3 linked regions of the Daphnia pulex genome follow. The protein of the gene in region 2 interacts with the protein of the main gene of each other region in a pairwise test. Links are inferred from orthologs where the notes say so. Each region holds a gene or a part of one and is shown on either strand. Other genes may lie near its edges.

The links.
Region 1: the proteins of homeotic protein ultrabithorax-like (region 2) and recombining binding protein suppressor of hairless-like interact in a protein complementation assay, tested with the Drosophila melanogaster proteins (2 studies listed by BioGRID). The link is inferred for Daphnia pulex from reciprocal best matches to the Drosophila melanogaster genes Ubx and Su(H).
Region 3: the proteins of homeotic protein ultrabithorax-like (region 2) and segment polarity protein dishevelled homolog DVL-3-like interact in a two-hybrid assay, tested with the Drosophila melanogaster proteins (2 studies listed by BioGRID). The link is inferred for Daphnia pulex from reciprocal best matches to the Drosophila melanogaster genes Ubx and dsh.

The regions. Positions count from the first base shown.
Region 1 is NC_060025.1:8,027,586-8,031,235, forward strand, and holds part of recombining binding protein suppressor of hairless-like, read right to left. Parts: coding exon 3,320-3,650; intron 3,256-3,319; coding exon 3,081-3,255; intron 3,012-3,080; coding exon 2,874-3,011; intron 2,783-2,873; coding exon 2,373-2,782; intron 1,651-2,372; coding exon 1,465-1,650; intron 1,391-1,464; coding exon 1,154-1,390; 3' UTR 1-1,153. UniProt on the Drosophila melanogaster protein: Transcriptional regulator that plays a central role in Notch signaling, a signaling pathway involved in cell-cell communication that regulates a broad spectrum of cell-fate determinations.
Region 2 is NC_060024.1:12,346,406-12,350,055, reverse strand, and holds part of homeotic protein ultrabithorax-like, read right to left. Parts: 5' UTR 2,772-3,650; coding exon 1,931-2,771; intron 1-1,930. UniProt on the Drosophila melanogaster protein: Sequence-specific transcription factor which is part of a developmental regulatory system that provides cells with specific positional identities on the anterior-posterior axis. Binds the consensus region 5'-TTAAT[GT][GA]-3'.
Region 3 is NC_060018.1:12,878,463-12,882,788, reverse strand, and holds the start of segment polarity protein dishevelled homolog DVL-3-like, read left to right. Parts: upstream 1-1,515; 5' UTR 1,516-1,733; coding exon 1,734-1,894; intron 1,895-2,026; coding exon 2,027-2,096; intron 2,097-2,165; coding exon 2,166-2,254; intron 2,255-2,322; coding exon 2,323-2,402; intron 2,403-2,518; coding exon 2,519-2,587; intron 2,588-2,694; coding exon 2,695-2,841; intron 2,842-2,905; coding exon 2,906-3,143; intron 3,144-3,212; coding exon 3,213-3,341; intron 3,342-3,413; coding exon 3,414-3,541; coding exon of another isoform or gene 3,542-3,601; coding exon 3,602-3,691; intron 3,692-3,751; coding exon 3,752-4,057; intron 4,058-4,125; coding exon 4,126-4,326.

The sequences.
Region 1 (3,650 bases), on a different chromosome or scaffold from region 2:
AATGGGGGAGGGGGGAAACACACACGCATTCAAGACTCACAAAATAAAAAATAGAAACGCAAAATGAAAGGGCATAGTGATATAAACATTCCCATCCTCATTAATCCGTTTTTTTTCTTTTATGGTAGACGACACACGTTTTCACCGAGCCCGGGAATCACAAAAAATAAGGAAAACCCACACAAAATTGGAAAATTCTTTTCTTTTCACAAATTTTTTTTGTCAAAGAAAAGAAAAGAAAAATAATAATTAAGGACCATACCGGAGTGAAACGAATTCAACAAAATTGCAAATAATTATAATTCTAATTAATTAATAATAATAATGGTATTACAAAAAAAAAAAAAAAAAAAAAATGGACGAAACAACAAAAACGAAATGCTCGTTTTCTCGTTCGATCTGATCCTTCGAAAGCCCCCAAAACATCGAAGCCGCTCCTCCAGATATTTTCTTTTTGCATAATTAAGCAGCCAAAGAACGCCAGCAAAATACTAGATTAGGAAGAAGACACACACATTTACACTTACACACCCAACACGCACTCCAATCACACACCAAAATATAATCGAATCCAAATAATAAATTGTTTTGGTAAAAAAGAGGGATGGGGGTGTTGACAAAAAAAAACGGTGGAACGCTCAACGAATAGCACGGCTTTCGTCACGTTAATTATGACAAAGTTCAAGACGAAAAACTAAATTGTGTATCATGGAACTTCTGTTTCAACTATGGATATAATACGATAGTGGAGAAGGGTTATTAACGCATTGCAAAATTGACCAATAATAACTGTGTGCCTTTTTTCTTTGTTAATTATTTTTTTTGTTTGTTTCTTGATCTTTTTTCGATTGGAGAGAGAAAGGAAATTTATATGGATACTATATCCAACCACCAAAGCTGAGAAAAAAGAGAGAGAGATATAAACGGTAGTTTCACATCGATTATCACTGGAAATCAGTCGATCAGGTAAATTAAAAAGGAGAATCGTCACACAACAAATCTAAGTCAACACGCCCAGGACACAAAACAACATTTTGGAATTGTAGGGTTTTTTTTGTTTTGTGTCGGAGAAAAAAAAAAAAGAAAAACAAACTAACCAAATATTTCTTCCGGGCCGTCACAAAAAGTTTCTCTTTTTTGTTCCTCTCTAATTTCACATTGGCTGGTGGTGTTGTTGCTGTTGTTGCGGCTGTTGTTGATGATGCATGTGTTGGTTGTCGTAGCCGAGTGCCATCGGATTGACGGCATTGTTAGATCCGGCTACAACCCCGCGCTGCAAGACTTCCTGGGCCGGAGGGCAATGCGGCCTCGGTCCAGGCTCCGGTGTGTAGGTGAACGTCAACCTGGTGGCGTAGATGACACCGTCACTCCTCACCAAAGATATGGGAACCTACGAAAAAAAAATGACATCAATAAATCTGGAAAAAATAAGAAAAGACAAAACGGAATGAAAATGAAAAGTACCTGAGTCGGTCCGCGGACCCACTGCCAACCGGAACGGAAAGCTGAAATATCGGGCACGACGCACAGCATCGACTCCTCACAGCGGAACATGGTCTCGGCCTCCACGTCGCCAAACCACACTTTCAAATTGGGTGTCAGATTTTCGCCCATCAGCTCCAACATGGCCACATCGCCGCCACCGTTCAACTATGAAAATACGAAAAGGCAAAAATTAAATTGACGGACTAGGACGGACTAAAACAAAAAAATATGGTTGACGTCGGCACTAGCGGGATTCTTTTTTTAATTTAAAAATAATGAAACAAAAAAAAATGTTTGGGAGGGAGGATGAGGATAGTTGTGGAAAATTGGCGTTCCGCTTTGTTGGTGCCATCCAGCGTTGATTGTAGTGGTCGGTTGGTTGGTGGTCAACCTGCGACGGTCAACGATATAACAAATGTGTGGGAAAAAAAACGAAAAAGAAGACCAAGTAAGAGTAGGAGGAGGTGAACGGGATAAAAGGACTCTGAACAGCAGCAGCAGCAGCGACAACAAATCGCTCGCATAGTTTTCCCGTGGGAACGCATTCGCCACCCAAATTGGATAATATAACAAGAAAGGAGAAGAAGAAGTGAAGAACGAAAAGAAAGAAGGAAGGAAGGAAGGAAGAAGAACATCAGTTGAAAAAAGAAGCTAACCCCTCCCTTGTCACAATTTTTTCGTCTCGGGGGCCGAGCGTGAGAAGGTCCGTCTGGCATTCTCACGCCTATTTTCCATCCTGCCCGACGCCATTGGGGCATTTCTTTATTTTTGTATCTTATCTCCTGTCGCTTAGCCTCCCGTCAAATTTTTCCAACTTTTATCTCATTGACGAATCGGACGCCAATAAAACAAGAAAAACGCAATCGACAGCTGAAAAAGGGACTCACGTGTAGCGAGTGGACGATGGGGACAGGGGTGACGGGACTGCGGACGGGTCCCATGCCCTCGTAGAACTGGTACTCGGCCTTGTCGGTGCTGATGATGGTCCAGGCGGCTCCGTCGTTGATCATTTCCTTGTTGGGCTCCTTGGGGCACGGCGTCGCCTGGAACTGGATGATGCGCTCCTGGCTGAGGCACAGGTACATCCGCTCCGTGTCTTTCATGTAGAAGGCGCACTTGTGCAGCTGCGAGACGGGGTCGTCGGCGTCCAAAACGGCCATCTGCTTGTCCACTTTGCGGATGATGAGCCGGGGTAGGGCCATGCCCGTCACGCTGCACACCAGCTTGACCGTGCTGCCGTAATGGATGTAGCCGTCGCGCACCGTAAACTCTTCCGACTCGGATTCGCTGTCGTCCACTGCCGAAACAAAATTGAAATCAAAACATTTTATTTTTGTTTTCAGTTAAGTCGAGAAACAAATGGCGGAATTTTTGTAGTAGATGCTCACATAAGTGAATGGTGAAGGCGCCCCATTGGGTGGAACTGGCGTGAAAATTGTTATTGTCCACGTGCAGGTAACGAGTGCTGACCGTTTGCGAGCGGAGTCGATTGAACAGGGCCACTTTGGTCCCGCTGGCGATGCACACTGGGAATTTTTACACAGTCAGATGTTAAGTCAATCGAGAACTGAAAAAATAAGAATCAAAACACTCACGATCGGCGTTCTTGAGCGACTGCTTCTTCTTGGACGGTTTGGAAATGACTTTAATCCGCTTGCTGTGGAAGACGCCGATATCCTGGCCGTTGCCGTAAAACATTTTCACCGACAGCATGAAATGCTTGCGCTTGTCCGAGTCGGAAATGAACAGCGTCTTGGCCGCGCAATAACTCTGCCAGAAATCAAAATTCCCAATGAATAAAAAATTCCGGAATTGGTTAAAATTTGAAAATTACTTTGCCGTTGAGGTCGAGTTGCTGCATGTCCTGATCAGAGTTGCCGATGCCGATGAAGGCGCAGAGCTGCGAGGCGGCTTCGGCTTCTGCGGGCGAGGCCCCGTTGGCGGCGGCTTCGCGCTGGATGGCCTCGCGCCTCCTCCGCCACCCGTCGCCGTAGAGGTAGATGCACGGCGGCGGGCAGAAGAAGCGCTTCTCGTTGCCGTACGACTTCTGGGCCACTTTAGCGTGCAGGATGACCACGACCATGTCGCCGTGCTCCTGCAGGTAGCGCATCATCGCCTCACGGGTCAGCCGCTGCTCCTTGGTTCCGCCCCTGTACGCCGATCCG
Region 2 (3,650 bases):
TGAACTGGTCACAACTCTGTCTGACCTTTTCTCTTAAAAAGAAGATGTCACTGTGGCTTTTTTTTTCGCTGACTGGACACGATAAATTATTACATGAAAACCCCAGTGTTTTCGTCCCAGATACCCACGGGGTCCGCCATTCCTGACCAACAGTCCCGACCCCCCGCATGTCTCACCTGAGGAAAAGAGGAAAAAAAAGACCTTTTTCATTTTTTTCTTTTTTTTTCTGGGGTTCCCGCCTACTATTTTAAACATTTTTAGTTTTTTGGGTCGCCCTTCAACAAATCTCGTAGCTGCCGTTATACACGATGTTACATATAATAGCCTTCCACCTTGTGCTTTTAACTTAAGATGTCATTCTCTGATGACCTGAACCATTTAACGGCCCGTGTCGATCCCCGGGGAGTCTTAGGGGTATTTAGAAATTCCAACAATTTACACATTTTTAATTGATCTACCTGGAAATGAACGGCAAAACGCTATTTGTGTTTGCTTTCGAAATAGGTATCTAGAGGCAAATTTTTTCTTCTTTCACCCATCTTCAACTATTGATAAATCGTATACTAGCTTGTTTCGTTAATCCCGCAAGACCTGTTGCGCACGCAACGCCTCGGGACTCCTGGACGCTCGAGCGAAATGGCCATCTCTCTTTCCTTCTCTTTTTCAGCTTTTATCGCTGTACCCAGTGGTAACAGCAGCAGCAGCAGCAACAGGATGAATTTATTTCCTCGAGGAGAAGAAGAATAAAAGGAAGGAAAAAAAAGGCATATTGGGTAATCTCTGCGGCCTTATCGACTGTAACATACAATCTAGCTGGCAACCTGAAGACGAAAGAGAATGAGAGGGAAGATAAAAAGGAAAAAAAGGGGAGAACGCCGATAGATAGTGAACGAGAGAGAGAGAGAGAGAAAGAAAGAGCTATTTGCATACTAAGCAGACAAGGCCCTTTCTCTCTTTTTCTTTAGTCGTCTTGGATTACAGCCGGACAAAATGTGTGTTTTACAAATTTCTCGTGAAACAGAGTGGACAAAAAAAAAATCGCCATCGGTCCGTTACCCAGACAATGATAACACGAATTCACAATCTCGTTTCGCTTAATTATAATCAAGTTTTTTTTTTTCAGAGGGTTTAGGGAGAATAATTTTTATTTATTTTATGATTCTCTTGTTGGATAGAATTGAATATCCCCCCTTCATCGGTTCTTTTTTTATTAGTATTATTATTTGTTTTGCTGTGACGCCTTTTTCCCTCTCTGGATTGGATTGGCGTGGCGACCCCCCCACCAACCAAACAAACATAAACGAGGAAGACTAGTTAAAAAAACAGGACATTTTATGTGATTTGGGTGCTGCAGACTGCGCAACTGCCACTGGACGGGCAACAAAGGAAAGTTACGAGCCCATTGCAAAGGTCCGACGGTTTCGAATTTTTATGGAGGTCATCAAAAGTGAAAGAAAGAAAAAAAAAGGGGGTCTGCGTGTTGTTGAGCGACACGGCCGAGGACGAGTCGTTCGGATCATGCAGCTTAGACGTGTGTGTGTGTATGTGTGTGTGTGCCGTGCCCGTCTCTTTCCGCTAGTTGTACCGGCCGAAAAAGAAAAAAGAGTTATGACGCGCTCCGCCCCCTACTTCCAGCAGCCCCCCCTGCACCACCATCACGTAAGAGTACATCATCATCATCATCACAGGAGCGGTCAGAAGCGTTCAACAGGGCCGTCGAAAACACACAAAATCGTGATCCGACACAGTTTTGCGACTTTGTTGCTGTCGATCTCATGACACTCGTGAAAACGGATCGTAAATTATGTCCCACGCGTTCGTCTTTTATTTTATTTTTCAAAAAAAGAGGAAAAAGAGACGCGCCCGGTAATTTACGATGTTTGAAAAAGAAAAAGGAAAAAATGAAATGAGCGGGAGGGCGCGGACTTACCGGCGATGGCCATCCACGGGTAGAATGTATGGGCAGACGATTGACTCTGTGGCGATTGCTGCTGGCTAATGGCGTGGCTGGCGTGCTGACCGCTCGTGTTGTGGTTGCTGTGCTGTTGAACCGAGTTGTGTTGGTGTTGTTGCGAGTGTTGCGTGTTGTGCTGGGACACGACGCCGACGCCGCCGCCGCCTCCGTGCTGCGGCACCGGCGCCTGAACGGCTGTGGTGGCGTTGAGGGAGCACGGGCTCCACGGGTTGTTGTTTGGACCGACCGAGTTGGCCGGGCGAGGGGTGACGGCGCTGATGGCCGCTTCCGGCCCGACTCCGACGCCGCCAGAGACGTTGGACACGACGCCCGGGTAACCGCCGCCGCCTCCGACGACTCCGCCACCGCCGCCGCCCACCACGCCTCGGTTGTTGATGTTGTTGTGTCCGTGACCGACGGAACCCACTCCGACACCCCGGTCGTTGACTCCACCTTGCTGGGCCGCTCTGGCCGCATCGGCCGCCGCAGCCGCCGCCGCCTGCGCCCACGAACTGATGGCCGAATTGTTGTCGGATTTGACGTTGATGCCCGCCGAACTGTAGCCGTTCTGGTCGGCTTTGCTGCAGTCCAATTTGTACTGTTGCTCGTAGAGTTTGCAGGAAGCGGCCGCTGCGGCCGCCGCCGCAGCCGCCGCTGTCGACTGGTCGTAGGAATCGACTTGCTGGCGGGTCACGCCGCCTGAGGGCGGCCCGTAAGGATTGACTCCGAGACCCAACGGGAATCGGTACGCCTGCTCGGCCCCCGTCTGTCCATGTCCACCGTAGAAGCCGGACTGTTCAAAGTACGAGTTCATCATTTTCGATCAACTTTTTCGCTTTACCAATTTTTTCTTTCGTCTTATCTTGTCCACCACCGAAAAAAATTCGTTCACTTTAATTCGCCACACCAAATCCAATTTCACAAATTAAAAAACGAAAAAAAAAAAAATAATTTGTAACACTCAAGGTCCGATTTTGACTCAACGAACGAATCGTTGACGACTGCACTGATGAGAAGAAGGGAATACACTGAGTGAGAGAGTGGCAGACTGTACTATTCAAACTGTGTGCCGTGATGGGACTCGGTCCCGCGCGCTCAAAGGGAAGAGAGAAGAGAGGAGAGGACACACTGGGCACACGCTTGCGTCGGAGTCTGCTGATAGCGATCAACTAAAGCCGTCTGCTGTACGCGGGACTCTCAAAAGGGTGCCGGGCAAAGACACGGAGGCCTCTATAATGGGGGTATGAGTAGTAGTAGTTGTTGTAGTAGTAGCGGCGGCGGTGGCGGCAGCAGCAGCAGCCGGAGTCGAAGAGGTGGGGTCTACTCTCTCGCCTTGGCGGGGGGTTGGCTGCGAGAGCCAATGAGCGATCGTCGTTTGGGTTGCTGCACGCATCCGCTTTTAATGGCTCTGCGGCCGCGGGTCGGGCCTGCGCTCTGTGGTGGCCACAACCATCATGACGGGCACGAGGGGCGATTGGGGTGGGATGAGGGGGGAGGAGCTTTGCCTGGATTCTTTTGGTGTTTGTCGACGGAAGGACACGCCCACTTCGCCCCTTGTTGGAAATGGAAGAGTCGCCAGCGCCACTCTACGACGATTCCAGCTACCGCGTAACGACTGCACACACACAATACACACAACAGGATACTTTCGAGTAAGATGTAACAGCTTTTTCGTTGATTGTGTATGTGTGTATGT
Region 3 (4,326 bases), on a different chromosome or scaffold from region 2:
AGTCCGTTAACGGACCTTTTTTGGGGTTCGTTAACTTAACGGATAACGCTAACGTTTGGCATTTTTCAGACGTTATTTTCAGACGTTATTTTTGTTTTTAACAGCGCTGCCAAATATGAAATTTTTGGATTTTTCAAAATGAAATTTGTATTTTTTGCGCGCTTCCAACATTTTACTGTAGTAGGTTGACTATGAAAACGAATTTAAATAGCCAATGACAGTGAGCAGTAGTCTTCTTAGCTTCTCTGAGGTTTTTTTTTGCTTTCAAAACGTGGCAAACGAAACTGTATAAGTAGAGTAGGGAAACAACTAGAATCAGAGTGTAAATCTTTAATGTCAGATTCAGACTCTGATGCTCCTGTTGACGGTGAATAAGCGTGGCATCTGCGATGTTAGAAGATCTCGAAAGAAGATTTAATTTCATGACAGATTAAAGAGATCCTGATTTCGACTGCTCCTACCTTCTAGCCACTTCCCTCGACTGCATTGAAACTGAACTTTTAGACAACTTCCACTTTGCAAGTCATGAATTTGATCCTTCTAAGGATCCACCAGTTCAAGATGTGATCTCTTACTGGAAGGATTTGTCTGGTCGTTTCCCCTAATTATCCAAAATGGCCTATAATTTACTGGTTATACCAGTTTCTTCGGCATCATCTGAACGCGAATTTTCCATTGCCGGATGGCACTGTCTAGGACACAAAAATAGGACGGCGGAAGAAGTTTTGGCCGCAAAAGTCTTCCTCACTTGCAATAAGGATTTATTGAGGCCTTTACTTTTTTAGTTGGAACTTGTTTTTTTTTCTTTTGTCTGTGCGTTTATTTAATCCGCAGTTTCTGTTTTTTTTAGTTGATCATTGCTTCATTGTGACATTGTTCAACGCCAGCAGCAATTTAAATATAAGTAATCAAGACCGTGACTGATTTCAGTGATTTGATAGTGCAATTTTTTTATTAAATAACGGTAAAAATAACGTCGAATTTTCGTTAACGGAGACATTTTTAACGGCGTTAATTAACGGCGTTAACGAACGTGAAAAAATGAGACATCGTTAACTTAACGGATAACGCTAACGTTTAGAAAAAGCACTAACGAAACATCACTACTGGCTACTAGCTTGCTGCCCTTTTGCCATGATACCACAACCTAAAAGCAATCGAAAATTTAAGGAATCTTTACAGCTTACATGATAACCAAAGCTAGAATACATATTAATTATTATTTTATGAATAAATATTAATATATATTATATTATATTACTATGGATACGATAGTAAGATCACCAATTCACCATGATTAATGATTATTGTATTATTAATATATCACGGCCGTTAGCGAGTTATTCAACGTTATATGCTATTTTATTTTTTTAAATGAAACAAAAATCACGAACAACAGCCCTTTTTGAAGATCCCCCCTTTTTGCCAGATTTGAATTTGAAGCAAGTAGTGTGCAGTGTGAGCAGTAGATGGCTACGCTGTGGATAGCGGGTCGGAAAAACCATCTGTCGGCTGACGTTAATATTTTTTGGGAAAACCGGGACGCCCAATTGGAGGCTCACAAGACTTTAAGCCTCGCCATATTGAACAGCCTGAGGGAAAGGGGAAAAGTCTGTATTCACTATTCAGTCCTCTTCATGTTGCGCAGATAGTAACTTTTGACGCCCTACCCGTTTTTGTAATCTTGTCAAAACGATTGGTTTGTTGTCGTTGACTCTTGACGCAGTTTCCTAATGGCGGAAACAAAGATTATTTACCACATTGACGAAGAAGAAACTCCCTATCTTGTTAAACTTACAATATCTCCCGATCAAGTTACCCTAGCCGATTTCAAGAATGTTCTCAATCGTCCAAATTACAAATTTTTCTTCAAATCAATGGACGACGATTTCGGGTAAAACCAGTTTTTCTCGTTTTTTTTTTGTTGTTGTCAAGTGGCAATAACGTGTTACATGATAATTGTCCATGTAGTTATTTTTTTATGCAAGTGTAAGCATTGTTTTCTCTTTATTGTTTATGTTTCTAGTGTTGTCAAGGAAGAAATTGTTGATGACGATGCTCACCTTCCATGTTTCAATGGAAGAGTCATATCATGGGTAAACGTAACAAGTTAAATTATATTGATGAATATTTTAAGATGTCTTAATGTTTCTTTCACTTTGTAGCTAGTATCAGCTGAAAGTAGCATTTCAGACTCTGTATCTCAATGTGCTGAGAGTACTGCCACTACTGATGGGAGACCACCGTCTTTCCAGTGAGTTTTTTCTTTACAAATTTTCACTGCTTGTAAAGTTTGGTAATTAACTCGTCATTTGATTTTAGCCCTGGCCATAACAGAAGTATGGCTGAGGAATACACAACAGCTACTGAGACAGAATCGGTCATTAGTTCAAGACACAGTGGTAAACTTTATTTCCTTATGCTGTATTTTTATGTTTATGTGTTTACCTTTGTCCTGTTGCATCTCATTTTTCGTTATCTTCTGCAATTCTTTTGTTCTTTATGTTTTGCCATGAAGAGAGGCACATATTGCCCCGCTCTGGCCGTGTGCATCGTGAAACTTATGAAAAATATGATCGCTTTGATGGTGAGTTTGTTAGCATGGCTTTTTTTGTAGATTGTTGCTTCACTAAATTTTCATGTAGAATGTCTTATCTTACTATATATTCGATTAACATCCGATTGTCTCTTTAGTTCAAGCTCCTCGAAATGGCCACAACGCTATGAGACACAGAGCTGGACACGAATATGAATCCTCTTCTATGATCAGCTCGGATTTAGAGTCGACCAGCTTCGTTGACTCTGAAGAAGATGCATCTTCACGTATCACAACGACCACGGGTATTAAGCAAAGTTATAATAACTCTGGATTTATTGAAAATTTTGCATATTTTGAAATTTGCAGATCACACTAGTGTGTCTCGCCAAGGTCGCAATCGGAGACGTAATCGTCGCCGTCCCCGCCTCCCTCCTCTTTCATCTCGAGCTTCATCATTCTCCAGTATCACGGATTCCACTATGTCACTCAACATAATCACTGTCACCCTCAACATGGACACAGTCAACTTTTTAGGAATTTCCATCGTCGGCCAGAGTCATCAAGGTGGTGATGGTGGAATTTACGTAGGATCCATAATGAAAGGGTATAAACACAGATGAACCTGACATATTTCTTGTGGTAATTTCAAATGAAAATCATTGCTATTATTTAGTGGGGCTGTCGCTTTGGATGGTCGAATCGAGCCTGGTGACATGATCCTTCAAGTCAATGATATTAACTTTGAAAATATGTCAAATGACGATGCCGTTCGCGTTTTACGAGAAGTTGTCCAGAAACCTGGGTAAGCATAACTGTTTTTTTTGTTTTCCAACTTAACATTTAGTACATTGTGTTTTTTATTTGCATGTGTCAGCCCAATCAAACTTGTAGTCGCCAAGTGTTGGGATCCTAATCCAAAAGGATATTTCACTATACCCCGTACGGAACCTGTTCGCCCTATTGATCCCGGTGCGTGGGTTGCTCACACGGAAGCAGCAAGAGGTGATTGTCGTATTTTAAATCATAAATTGGCATCCAACAACAAATCTAACGTCATATTAGGTGGAACGCAGTACCCGAATCGTCCGCCATCTGTGGCGACGATGTCGTCAACCACCACAACAATGATGTCGAGTATGCCAGAAACCGAACGTAAGTTGTCACGTAGAAAATGTACCGAAAGAACTTTTGACTAAGTACTACTTGTCACAGGTCCAGTTGAAGAAGCCCAACCGCTTTCAGTGCGCTCAGACATGCTCGCAATTGTGCGAGCGATGGCGCGCCCAGATTCCGGACTTGAAGTTAGAGATCGCCTTTGGTTAAAAATTGTAATTCCAAGTGCGTTTATTGGATCAGAAGTGGTCGACTGGCTTCACAATCGCGTGCAAGGACTAGAAGAGCGGCGTGATGCCCGCAAGTTGGCTTCCCAGCTTCTGCGAAACGGTTACATCAGACATACAGTAAACAAGTACACATTCTCTGAACAATGTTACTACGTGTTCGGAGACCTGTGTTTGGGTGAGTTGACATTTGAGACTTATCGGGTTATAGAATATTTTGTTTGATGAAAGGGTTTTATCTTGTAGGTGTTTCGGCTCTTCGCCTGACTGATGACACGACATCGGAAGCCGATAGAGACACGCTCGCACCGTTGCCGTTGCCGACTCCTTGGGGTAGTGGGCCTGGTGCTACAGGAGCCGGTGGGGCTACCCCTCACATACCTTATTATCCAACCGGTTATGCGCCCATGCCTTACAGCTACAGCAGTGATCCCCTCGGATCGGCGC